Linked DNA regions of Oryctolagus cuniculus. The protein of the gene in region 1 purifies or fractionates together with the protein of each later gene. This does not show direct contact. Links are inferred from orthologs where the notes say so. Each region holds a gene or a part of one and is shown on either strand. Other genes may lie near its edges.

Region 1 (6,264 bases):
AAATGGCTGCAACTGGAGCTGGGCCTATCCGAAGCCAGGAGCCAGGAGCTTCTTCCAGGTGTCCCATGCAGGTGCAGGGGCTCAAGCACTTGGGCCATCTTCTACTGCATTTCCAGGCCATGGCAGAGAGCTGGATTGGAAGTGGAACAGCCAGGACTCGAACTGGTGCCTGTATGGGATGCCAGAACTGCAGGCTTTACCCGATACAACACAGGGCTGACCCCAGGGTCATTAAGTTTCACTAGTGGTATCCTAAAAAGTAACTGTACATGATTATTAAAAGCAAAGCTCTTATTCTAGATCAGTTTCTAAGATGCTTCCTACTATAAGGCATATATGAAATTATACCAGTAATAAAAATATTTAAATGTGCTAAATAATAAAAAAACAAACCAAAAAACATATTAGAAGTCATCACTATTTAATCTTTGGTATCTACAAATTTTACTTTAAAAGAACCATTGTTTCTCCTTTTTAAAAAATTGTCAACAAATTAAAAACAGAGACAAACCCAGAAAAGGATCGCGTAACCAATTTTGTTTAAAAGAACATGGTATCACAAGAGCATGGAATTTGAACTCTGACAAACTTGGATCCAACTACCATCTTTGCCACTTTCTACCTAGTTATCCTTGGAAGAATTACTTAAAGCTCTTAAAACCTCTCTTTACTCATCTGTGAAATGGTAATAATAAAACTACCCACCTAGGCCAGCGCTGCGGCTCACTAGGCTAATCCTCCGCCTTGCGGCACCGGCACACCGGGTTCTAGTCCCGGTCGGGGCGCCGGATTCTGTCCCGGTTGCCCCTCTTCCAGGCCAGCTCTCTGCTGTGGCCAGGGAGTGCAGTGGAGGATGGCCCAAGTGCTTGGGCCCTGCACCCCATGGGAGACCAGGAAAAGCACCTGGCTCCTGGCTCCTGCCATCGGATCAGTACGGTGCGCCGGCTGCAGCGCGCCGGCCGTGGTGGCCATTGGAGGGTGAACCAACGGCAAAGGAAGACCTTTCTCTCTCTCTCTCTCTCTCATTGTCCGCTCTGCCTGTCAAAAAACAAAAAAAACAAAAAAAAAACTACCCACCTCAAGTTCATAACAAATTTAAGAATGTATTTGTCTATATACAAAGGGTTTTACACAAATCTTAACAGCTCCCTTCCCTTAGATCTGCCTTTCAGAATGAAAATTTCAAAGCTTAAGAGTACAAAAAGGTTGTTTTCGAAGCTTACAAATAAAGGAGCAGAAAGAGTAACATGATTTAAATTTAAGTTTAAAAATATCACAATTTCTCATCCCTTACCAACATCCTTCTCCCCAAAGATTGAAAAAAGCATTTTCATAATTCGAGTATTAAAATTCCACTGACTGAGCTGTTTTTTCCTTAAATTAGCATATACAGGGATGAAATCTGTATGTAAAATATCTACAGAATATTTTCATAAAAGTCTGAATAAAAACAGAAACACCAAAATCCAAGCTGGAATTTTCACTCACTCATCCAATATTATGCTGGGCAAGCTGGATGGCCAGCTTCTGCCCCTTCTGGAACTTGGTGCTCCCAGAGTGCCAGATAATAAGGGATCTTGGCATCTCATTTTGCTATTCCGGACCTTTGCAACACATGGCAGGTCTGTATTAACTCCCACACTGAGTACTCTCTCCCCAACTACATTTTTAGCCACTTGAACTACTAACAACCACTTCAGAATGATTGAGTAAAGGCACAACAATCTCTTCGAGAAACCGCACTACTGAACCGTGTATGCATGTGTTTGCTCATGTCCACTTTGAGTTGCCACCTCCGGCCTGTTTACCAATACCACACATATGAACAGTGCCCAGTAACTTTTGCCGGATCTCCGACAGGGGCCTGTCCATTATGGAGAATCTTGTTGCTCTCCCCTCCTCTTTTTTTTTTTTCTGTTGTTGTTTCTTTATTACCACTTCATAGACAGAAAACACTTTTAAAACTGAAGACAGAGCTGCCTTCTGCACACTCAGCTGGGGAAAGAGAATCTTAGATTTTGATGCAAGAACACAAGAAATAAAAGTATCCTTAGACTGATATTAGGGTTTGTGAAACATCGTAATGTAACTTGCCTGTGTTTCCTACAAAACCTTACTATTTTGAGAACATAGGCACGCAGCATGGTTACAGACGGGCATTTCCAAAACGGTCACACTATCTTATTCACGTCGTGTTAGATACTTTTAAGTCTGAGAAACATCAAGGTCCTCTCCAGGAAATAGTCAAAAATTATTAGGGTTCCTCCCCACCCCGCCCATCCCCGAGAACCAGGCCTTCCCCTGCAGCCAAAGGGAACGGGCGAATAAGAGAGAATTAGTTCTAGAATCGGTTTTCTTATTTCACACGTCTGAGGACTTAAGTCTCTCATCTGGTTCCATTGCTGTCACAGCATCGAACACACGGTTAAAAGGAGTTGCACCGCCTAGCTTCGGAAGAAGTCCCAGCAGGAAGAAACGGGGTGGCACCAGGTCGCCCCCCGCCTCCGGAGGCTGCTGCCCACCGGGGCAGAAAAGAACTACGGGAAGGGGTCTTTTTGTGAGCAACTCGGATCCCTCTCAAGGAACACGGAGCTGCACGGCTTCCAGCGAAAGCGAAGCAAAGAAAAAGCAAGAAACCTCCGTAGGCAAAAGGGAAGCCGGAGAGGAGGAGGAGGAGGAGGAGGAGGAGGAGGAAAGGCAGCCTTCTGGCGATGGGGCGGGGGAAGTGGAAGGCCCAAGTGCTTCCTAAGCGATTTTCCCCCTTCCCCCTCACCCCCGGCGACGCTCCAGGCCAGGCCGCCGGGCTGGGCACTGCCCTTGGGCCTCTCCCAGGCCGGAACACAGACCCCCTCTGCAGTCCCCGGTGCTCCGCGCAGCGGCCCCGCGGCCGGCGCCGAGGCAGAGGGTCCCGCGCAGCCGCCGCCCTCCGCTCGCGCCCCCCGCCCCCGCCCCCGCCCTCCGCGCCGGGCCCGCAGCCGCCGCCCGGCGCCCGCTTCCTATTTTCGGAGCACACACCCTACAAGGAGCGGCGCGAGCAGGCCCGTCAGAGACGGGCGCCCGCGCGGGGGCCTCGACTGACTGACAGGGGCAGGCACTAGGGCACAGCGAGGCGGGGGAGGAAGGGCAGCCGAGGGCACAGCCCGTCGGCCAAAGCCCGTCGCCACCGTCCAGACTCGGCGGTGACACGCCGAAGCTCTCCCGGCTCCGCACCGACCCTCGCCGCCGCCGCCCCCGCGGCTCTTACCTTCTCCTCATCAGACAACTGCTCCTCCAGATCCGCCATCTTCCTTCTGGCGACAGACCGTGGCGGCGGCGGCAGCGGCCACCTGACTTCCCCCTTTCGGTGCGGTCCTCCGTGTCGCGCGCCCCCGCCAAGGGAGGGGCCCGCCGCCCAGACCGCCGCGCACGCGCCTTGGGAGCCCCGCCTCCCTCAACCCGGCCCTGGGGGCCCGGAGTGCGGCTGTGCGCAGGCGCGGGCGCCTCGGAAGCCGGGAGAGGGAAGCGTTTCCGACTGCCGCCTGCCGCTTGCTGCCTGCCGCAGGCTTGTCAGCCTCCGGAGAACGAACGGGGATTTCTCCCCACCAGTGACCATATGGGCCCCGTCTGCGACGAGTACATTCTGAGCTCTTGATTCGTTCCCATCGAGTCCTGAACTCTGCCAGCTCCAATGTGAAAAAGCGTACAAATAGGATCCTTAGATAAATACTCGGCTTTAATTAAAACAGGCACACACAATCCCAGTCCGTAATTGTGAGATTGTGCTAGGTAAATTCGTTTACTCGTTCAACGTTTATTGGTCTTTTATTGTGCACCGGGCATCGTGTTAGTCTCGGGATTTTCAATGTTGCGCAAAAAGGCAGAAATCTCACTTTTTTAAAGGTTTTATTTATTTGAGAGGTAGTTACAGAGATCTTCCATCTGCTGGTTCACTCCCCAAATGGCCACAACTGCCAGATCTGGGTCTATCTGAAGCCAGGAGCCAGGAGATTCTTCCAGATCTCCCACGCAGGTGCAGGGACCCCAGGACTTGGGCTGTCTTCCACTGCTTTCCCAGGCCATTAGTACGGAGCCGGATCGAGAAAGGAGCAGCCAGGACAGAAACTGGAGCCCAAATGATTTGCCAGTCTGGCAGGCAGAGGCTTAGCCTACTATACCAGTGCTGGCCCCAAAACCTCTCTTTTCAAATAACTCACTTCCTCTATTCTTCAGACACACACTGAGCAGTTGGGGGAGGCGCTGCACTTTTGCCAGGGAATGGATCCTACCATCCTTAATAGGGTGGCCAGATTAAATACAGGACAACTAGCAAAATACGAATTACAAATAAACAATGGCTTTTTAAAAGAAAGTGTCCAATGAAGCATTTGAGATACACTGAAAAGTTACCCGTTTCTAATTTTACTGGATGTTCTTTACTTTCATATGTGAAATTTGGCAACCCTTCTGAGACTTCAAGATTTTATTTATTTATTTTTTGAATGTCAAAGTTAGAGGGAGAGAGATCTTCCATCCTTGGTTCACTCTCCCAAGTGGCTGTAACTGCCGGTGCTGAGCCAGGCCGAAGCCAGGAGCTTCAGCTGGGTCTCCCACATAGGCAACAGGGGCCTGAGCACTTGGACCATCTTTTGCTGCTCTTCCCAGGCCATTAACAGGGCCCTGGATGGGAAGCAGAGCAGCAGGACCGGAACTGGCACCCATATGTGATGGTGGTGTCGCAGGCAGTGACTTTACCTGCTATGCCACAACTCCAGTTTCTGAAGCTTCAAGTTTACAAGAGAGTAAAGATACAGTTGATGTGCCATCAGCTGGGGATTTTGTTAAATTTGCTGGGGCATTGCTGAACTAAGTGCCAGCTCCTGCTCTAGCTCTCTGGTATGGCCTGGGAAAGCAGTTGAAGATAGCCCAAGTGCTTGGGCTCTGCATCAGCATGGGAGATCCAGAAGATGCTCCTGGCTTCTGGCTTCAAATCGCCTCAGCTCCAGCTGTTGCGGCCATGTGGGGAGTGAACCAGCAGATGGAAGACCTTTCTCTCTGTCTCTCCCTCTCTCTGTAACTCTACTTCTTAAATAAATAAAATATTTAAAAAATAAATTATGAAAACGGAAAATTTGAGAGTATCATTGATTCAATAGTCCGGGATGGGGCTGTAGAATCTGCAGGTCTAACAAGCTCCCAGGTGATGCCAATGCTCCTGCTTTGGAGGCCATACTTTAAGTAGCAAGGCATTAGTTTAGGTTGGAGTTAAAACTTCATTCAGTAGAAAAAGAGAAGCTGTTGAAAACTTTCCCACAGTGACATGATATGCTCAGAAATAATGCCCAGCAAGATGAATCTGACAGATGCACGTGATATCTAAGGGTTCTGTAAAGAGCTTAAGTAACTATTCAGATACAAGACATTATGATTATTTTAAAGATTATATATTTCAGAGTCAGAGTTACAGAAGAACAGGGGGAGAAAGAGAGAGAGAGAGAGAGAGAGAGAGAGAGAGAGAGAGAGAGAGAGAGCTAGCTATCTTCCATCTGCTGGTTCACTTCTCAGATGGCTGCAATGACCAGGGCTGAGCTAGGCTAAAGCCAGGAGCCAGGAACTTCTTTCAGGTCTCCTGCTTGGGTGGCAGGGGCTCAAACACTTGGACCATCTTCTCCTTCTTTTACCAGGCCATTAGCAGGAAGCTGGATTGGAAGAGGAGTAGCCAGCACACAAACAAATGCCCTGGCAGGATGCCAGCATTGCAAGTGGCAGCTTCAGTGGCTATGCCACTGTGCTGGCCCCACAAGACATTAAGGAATTTACTGAATGTTCATTTAAGGAGAGTTCAGGAAGTGGAAGCTTGCTAACATGCAGGAAAAAGCAGGTGTCCTATCGAAGGCAAGACATTAGGGAGAAGACACAAAAGAGAATAAACCATTTGGTTTGGCCAAGGATCTCACTGGATATAATCAACAGCATGTTTACAAGCCATTGCTTCACTGCTTTTTCATTGCAACCTCATGGAATAAGGTGCTTATCCCTAATATTATACTCATTTCACTGAAGGAAAAAAACTGAGGCTAAACACTTTGTTCAAGGTTGCTCAGTTTCTAAGTGACCTAGCTGGGATTGGAACCTAGGCGTTTTATTCTATTTCTCATGTTCCATCTACTCTAAAATTTTTCTTTCTCCCTGTCTAAAGTCCAGGTGCACTCCAGTAAGTGAACTTAATGAAAGTGATAGTTCTCATGTTCCACCAGTTCCCATTTACCACCACCTGCTATCAGAAGT
Region 2 (6,264 bases), on another chromosome or scaffold:
TGGAAGGAGCTGCTTAAAGATGCACTTCTGTCTACCATCTTTAAAAAGTACCCCCATACAACACCAACAACCCAGAGAAGTTCCCACCATAAAGCGCAGCCAACTTCCACGTGCAGAGGCATGGACCATCGCCCCCACCCCACGCTCCCAGCCTCACTGTGCACCAGCGGCTCGCCACCTTGTAGAAAAGGACAACAGGACACTTTTTTCTTTCCCAAATTGAACTACGTAATTGAAGCTTTTGAATAAGTCAGCACGTGCCTCATGCTCACCTACATGCAATCATTCTAGTTTCCCGGTCTCCTTCACACCCCTTCATCCAATTCTCTCTCTCCTGCTGTCAGGGGAAAGGGTGTGGAATGGAATCAGGGTAGCAAACAGATGGCCATGACACCTTCTCCATGGGCAGTGGCAAATGAGCACCTCCTGCAAATTAAACTTTGCCGGGGGCCAGCGCTGTGGTGCAGCGGGTTAATGCCCTGGCTTGAAGTGCCGGCATCCCATAATGGGCGCCAGTTCGAGACCCAGCTGCTCCATTTCCAATCCAGCTCTCTGCTATGGCCTGGGATAGCAATAGAAGATGGCCCAAGCCCTTGGGCCCCTGCACCCGTGTGGGAGACCAGGAAGAAGCTCCTGGCTCCTGGCTTCAGATTGGCACAGCTCCAGCCGTTGCAGCCAATTGGGGAGTGAACCAGCAGATGGAGGACCTCTCTCTCTCTCTGTCTGTGTGTGTGTGTGTAACTCTGACTTTCAAATAGATCTTAAAAAAAAAAAAAAAAAAAAAAACTTTGCTGGTGGGACTGCCATGACCATTCACGCCCAGGCGAGTGGCGAGGTGCCCAGGATGGCCCCTGCACCTAGAGAGAAGACACAGGAGCCCTCGGGAAGCCAAAACCTCGAACCACATCGAGCTAACACAACAACTCCGAAGCGGTGTAGGTGAGAAACCAGGCCTGTTGGAAGCCTGGTGCAGCGGAAGGCAGAGGAAAGAAAACAGAAGCAGCGCTGCTTACTCGTTACCTCGGCTGAAGTCCCTTCAAGTTTTCTGGTTCTCAGTTTCAGTTTCTCCTGAGAAACTGGAGTTGTGATAAACACAGAGGCAGTCACAGCCTGCGTGCTGTGAAGAAGCACTGACCAGTCACACAGAACAGCACAGACCCCGGGGTCACTGAGAATCCAACCACCAGAAAGAGAAAGCAAATTACCAGGCACCCACGAACGCACTTTGACATGAAGCTGGATCGCCCACCCTGACATCAAACATGTTGCGAGAAACACCCTTTCTTGAAAGAAAATCAGTTTGCTATTGCCCAGCAGTCCTGATTCAGGAAAACATGACTCCAGGAGAAAACGCTGGGTGGAGTGGGCCGGGGACTGCGCTCTGAGCTGAGGCTACACGAGGGAACGAGATGATCTTTCTCACCCTCGGGGAGCTCAGCTCGCACTTGCTGGGATTTGTACCAGGGCTGCTCTCACCATAGAGCCACGCCACACGGTACAACAGAGTTGCCTTTTCTCCCCCAACACCTAGGGGTTTGGCACGGTAGTCTATTACATAACGGGAGGTGACACACACACACTACTTGAAACACCCTGCTCCAATCCCCAATCTGCCCTCTCTTCTCTTCCTCTGCCTCACTCTGCACAAGATAAAATAACTCCCGATAAGAGGGTTAGCTTTAGGACTGCTCAGCAGTTAATGTGTTCTGATTCTAGCTTGCACTGCAAGCCCTCAACACTGTTCACCTTAAAAACCCAATCCTCAGTCACACTGGCCGAAAACTGGGCCTTGAGCCAGCAGGTTCATCATTTGCTGAGCAAACAGCTCAACTCCCATAACCTACTGATAAAGCAGGGCCACCCGGCCAGTCTGGGAGGATATTCATTAAGATCTTAACAGAGAAGTACATTGACTTACACCACTGGAGTCATTTACTAACCTGAGGACTACAATAAACTCAAAGTTGGCTTGCTCCCTCTCAAGTCACCAGCAATGTCTTGGTTCCCCAGCACCCTCCATGCCCTCTGCCTCTCCAGCCCAGCCCTCCTCCCCAGGGAAAAAGGACAGAGCCAGATTAAGCACCGCGGTGCTAACAAGACTAAGAGGCCACATTAGCAGGCCTTGCTGGACAACACTGAGAGTGCAGTGGAAGCCGTGATTCCTTAGAAAGTGCTGGCAGGGCCTGTCCTGACACAGAAAAACCTGCTCGTGCATGCGCGCAAAGGGCTGGCAGCAAAACACCACTGTTCCTCCACGCAGGCCACACTCCAAGGACCCCTTGTGAACTGCAGGTGTGTCACTATGAACGCCAGGGCCCCCTGTTGCCTGTGCTACCCAGAGGAGACCGGGAGGGACCCCAGCTCCTTCTGCAACTGCAGGAGAAGCCGCAGGCGAGTCTGCAGCCTTGGGCCCCTGCGCTTTCCAGAACCTACACAGGACTGCAACACACCTGCACCTAGGGGACCAGAAAGCTCGGCCAGGCAAAGCCTGCTGCCACAGGTGAGGGGGCAGGTACTGGCTTGGAGGTGAGGGTCGGCTGATGTAGCCAAACGGATGACGGCCATCTCTCCCCCAACTTGTCCACAAAAGCAAAAGGCGCGCTCAAAAGACAGCAAGACTTCCAGAAAAGCTAAGCGGGTGAGAACGCGCGACCCACAGGTCTCGGGCTCCCTCCTGAAGTTTGGCCGAAAGTCCCAGCGCCTAATGAGCGCAGGGGCAGGGAAGTGCAGGGCTCGCGCAACCCAGCCCGCAGCAGCGAACACTCCGGCGGCGCGCCCGGGACACCCGCGCCCACTCACCTTGAGATAGTCGTTCTCCGAGCGAAGCTCTTCCATCTCCCGCAGCAGCTCCTCCTCCTCTGCCGCCGGCAGCTGCGCCAGCCGGGGCTGCTCGCCCAGGCTGGGCTCTTTGGGTGTCCCGGGAACCGCTCGCTCCGGCGGCACGCGTCCCCCAGCATCCTCCGCCGCACACGGTCCCGGAGACCCCATGGGGACCCCGCCTGGGCTGCTTCGGCCCCCGAGAGAGGCAGTGGGGGGCGCGGCGAGGAGCACTGGGGGCTCGGGGCTGCCCGGCGGCGCCCCCCGAGCTGCAGAGCTTGGCGTGGGCGCTCCTCGCAGGGGTTCCCGATCGCTGGAGCCGGTGCCGGACTCCGCATCGCTGCTGGCTGCTGGGAGCAGGCGCTGCTCGTCGGACAGGGGTTCGGAGGGGCAGTCGGAGAGGTCGGAGCTGCTGTCCGTGTGGCTGATGCGCGAGCCCGGCGCAGGGGAGCCGGCCACCGAGGTCACGGAGAGGGTCACGGAGGGGACGCGAGCGGCCGGGGCCGGGGGGCCGAGGGTGCGGACGGCTGGCGCCCCGGAACCGCGCTTGGCTTTGCGGCCCTTGGCGGCGGCAGGCGACAGTTCGGCCGCGGGCGGCTTCCCGGCCCGAGGCAGTGGCTCGGAGGGCCCCGCGCGCGCCGCCCTCCGGGTTCCCGGGGCGGCCTTGGCGCCGCCCGCCGCCCTGGCCCCAGCGCCCGGCGGCGGCTTGTCCTTCGCGCCGGGGACGCCGCCGCTGCGCCGGGAGAGGCGGCCGGGAGCAGCCAGGGGCCCCGGCGAGGGCGGTGCCTTGCCCGCCAGGCTTGGCGAGCGCGGGGCGGCGGGCACCGCGACTCGGCTCTGGGAGGGGGCAGCCGGGGCCGGGCCGGGCGCGGAGGGCCGGGCGTGCAGGTCCTTGAGGAAGGGTCTGGCGGGCGAGGGTGCGCGGTGCAGCCGCCTTCTCTCGGCCAGCGGGTGGAGGTGGTGGTGGCGGTGGTGCTGGCCGGGCGACTGAGGCTTAGCGTCCGGGGCGCCGCCGCCGGTGGGGCCGTTCAGCGTCTCCATGGCCGGGGCCGGGACCGCCGGCAGCGGCTCGGGGCGGCAGTGGCGGCGGCGTGCAGCCTCCTCGCACGCTGGCTCATCACTGGTCCCCAGCCCCGCCCGGCAGCGCCCCGCGCTCTCGCCGTCCCCCACCCCCGATTCCCCCCGGGGATCCCCGCCTCGCTCTGGCCTCGCCGAGGTCACAGCCGTTCCAGTTCTCCCGGCACCGTCGCTCGCATCCTCTAGACTCCGGGCTCGCGGGAGCGCCGCCGCCGCCTCTCACTCCTGCGCTGGCCCCGCGGCGGCGCTGCTGGCGCGCGCCCGCCTCCCCGCCCACTGCCAGCCCGCGCCCCACGGCGCCCGCCCGCTCCGGCCCGCGCCTGCCCGCGCCGCTCCCGGCGGAGAAAGGCTGCACGCGCGCGCCCCGCGCCCGCTGCCCGCTGCGCATGCCCCGCCTCCCGCCAGCCGCGCCGGGGCCGGGGGCGGGCCGGGGGCGGAGCCTGAGCGCCGCGGGGCGGACGCCGGAGGAGTCCACGCGGCCTCGCCGTCCCGGGTCCCTGCCGGCTCTCTGATGTCCTGCGTGGTGGCGGCGGAGCTGCGTCGGGGAGTTAGTGGGTGAGCGCCGGCCTCCGGAGGACACTGAGGCTGCGCCCTCTGCGGCGGGTGCGATGGGCGCCCGCTTTCCCCGGCTGACCAACGCCCCACTGGCGCTCCGGCCACGCCCAGGACCCCGCAGTTCCCTCCCTCCGCGGCCTGTCCTTTAAGGACCGTGGTACCCGATGCGCTGATCGCGTCCACGCGGGCAGGGCGCTGGGCGGCTGGCACCCCGGGAGGGAGGCGCTTCTGTTGGAAGCCGGAGCTGAGGTTTGCCAAGCTTAGGGTCTGGAACAGAGCTCGCATTTGTAGTCCCGGCCGCAAGCCAGGCATTGTTTTAGTTATCTCTCCCAACAGTCCTGAGCTGGAATGACTTGTGAGGACACAGTCACGGGCTGTGGGGTCCCTCGCCTGAGGTGCCTTAGCCGGCCCAGGGCCGAGCCGGGATCCAAACCCAGATCCACGGGAGTTCTCGGTCCTGCAGGCGCTTCGCTCCAAGAGCCTGGAGCTTTGTGTCCTGTTCTGCCACCTGGGCAAAGCACCTGACCTTCTGAACCCTAGCTCCTTCACCTGTGTGATCAGAAAATAAGTCCACCCGAGTGTGTGAGGATTAAATGGGCAAATAGGAGGACACACTGCGCCAAACGAAAAGTGCTTTGTGTCTACCACTGAGCACAGGTGTTGTGTGGTGGGCAATAAATACCCAAAGGAATAAGGCGCAAGCTGCCCTGTAGCCTTGGCATTGGCAGGAGGGAGAGGGCACACAATAATTCCAATGTGCTGGTGTGCAGGGGTTAAACCAGCCTGGGGTGGGGGGAGTCCCATTTTCCTAGAAGGACAGTTGGGGCTTGCCACTGAAAGCCCAGCTCATCCAGAGCATGGGGAGAGCGCCTGGTATAGGTGGGAGGGCAGGTAGGTGAGGCTGGAGGGTGGGGGCACCACATCCTGGAGCCTAGGGAAGTAGTCATGGCTGTAGCCATAAGCACAGGTGAGGGGACAGCAGAAATAAGGATAGAGAAAAGAGGACAGACTCGTGAAAGTGAAAGGAGGGGCTGGTGCTATGGCACAGTGGATTAAAGCCCTGGCCCGCAGTACTAGCATCCCATATGGGCGCTGGTTCTAGTCCCGACTGCTCCTCTTCCAATCCAGCTCTCTGCTATGGCCTGGGACAGCGGTAGAAGACGGCCCAGGTGCTTGGAACCCTGCACTCACATGGGAGACCTGGAAGAAGCTCCTGGCTCCTGGCTTTGGATCGGCGCAGTTGCGGCGATCTGGGGAGTGAACCAGCAGATGGAAGACCTCTCTCTGTCTCTACCTCTCTCTAAAGACTCTGTCTTTCAAATAAATAAAATAAATTTTTAAAAAAGAAAGAAAGAAAGTGAAAGGAAGCACAGATTCTGCAGAATCACTCAGCCTGGCCACTTCCTTAAAAAAAAAAAAGTCGTCTTACAAATCAGGAAAGCAGTGCTCACGGAAGTCATCTTGCCTGGTCCTGGACTGAGCTCTGAGGGCACCCAAACCTTGCCTACTCTGCTGCTGTCTCTGGTGTTTCTGGGTGGCTTCTCTGGGAACCGGGAGACAGCACATACAACATGTAACCTGTGCCATAAAATCTCTAATTCAGAACCTGCAAGACCTCAGCCCCCTCTCAACGGAGGGCTAGAACAGGACACTGGTTGGCTCTGGTGAGGGGGTGGGTGACCTGAGAGGTGACTGCAGCACGCCTGCCTAGCCGGCCCTCCATGGGAGGGTGCCTTGACTCTCCCCCCTCCATCCCCTCGCGGCCCCTGTGGGTCTGAAACTCCAGCCCCAACCTTCACTGGCAATGCCCCCAGA

Evidence for each region.
Region 2: the proteins of CAPZA2 (region 1) and MTCL1 purify together in Homo sapiens (affinity purification with mass spectrometry; 3 studies listed by BioGRID and IntAct, counting the BioPlex papers as one, with this or other methods). This does not show direct contact. The link is inferred for Oryctolagus cuniculus from reciprocal best matches to the Homo sapiens genes CAPZA2 and MTCL1.

Annotation. Positions count from the first base shown.
Region 1 is NC_091434.1:152,376,174-152,382,437, reverse strand, and holds the start of CAPZA2 (F-actin-capping protein subunit alpha-2), read right to left. Parts: upstream 3,384-6,264; 5' UTR 3,284-3,383; coding exon 3,245-3,283; intron 1-3,244. UniProt on the Homo sapiens protein: F-actin-capping proteins bind in a Ca(2+)-independent manner to the fast growing ends of actin filaments (barbed end) thereby blocking the exchange of subunits at these ends.
Region 2 is NC_091441.1:65,829,096-65,835,359, reverse strand, and holds the start of MTCL1 (microtubule cross-linking factor 1), read right to left. Parts: upstream 4,223-6,264; 5' UTR 3,859-4,222; coding exon 2,800-3,858; intron 1-2,799. UniProt on the Homo sapiens protein: Microtubule-associated factor involved in the late phase of epithelial polarization and microtubule dynamics regulation.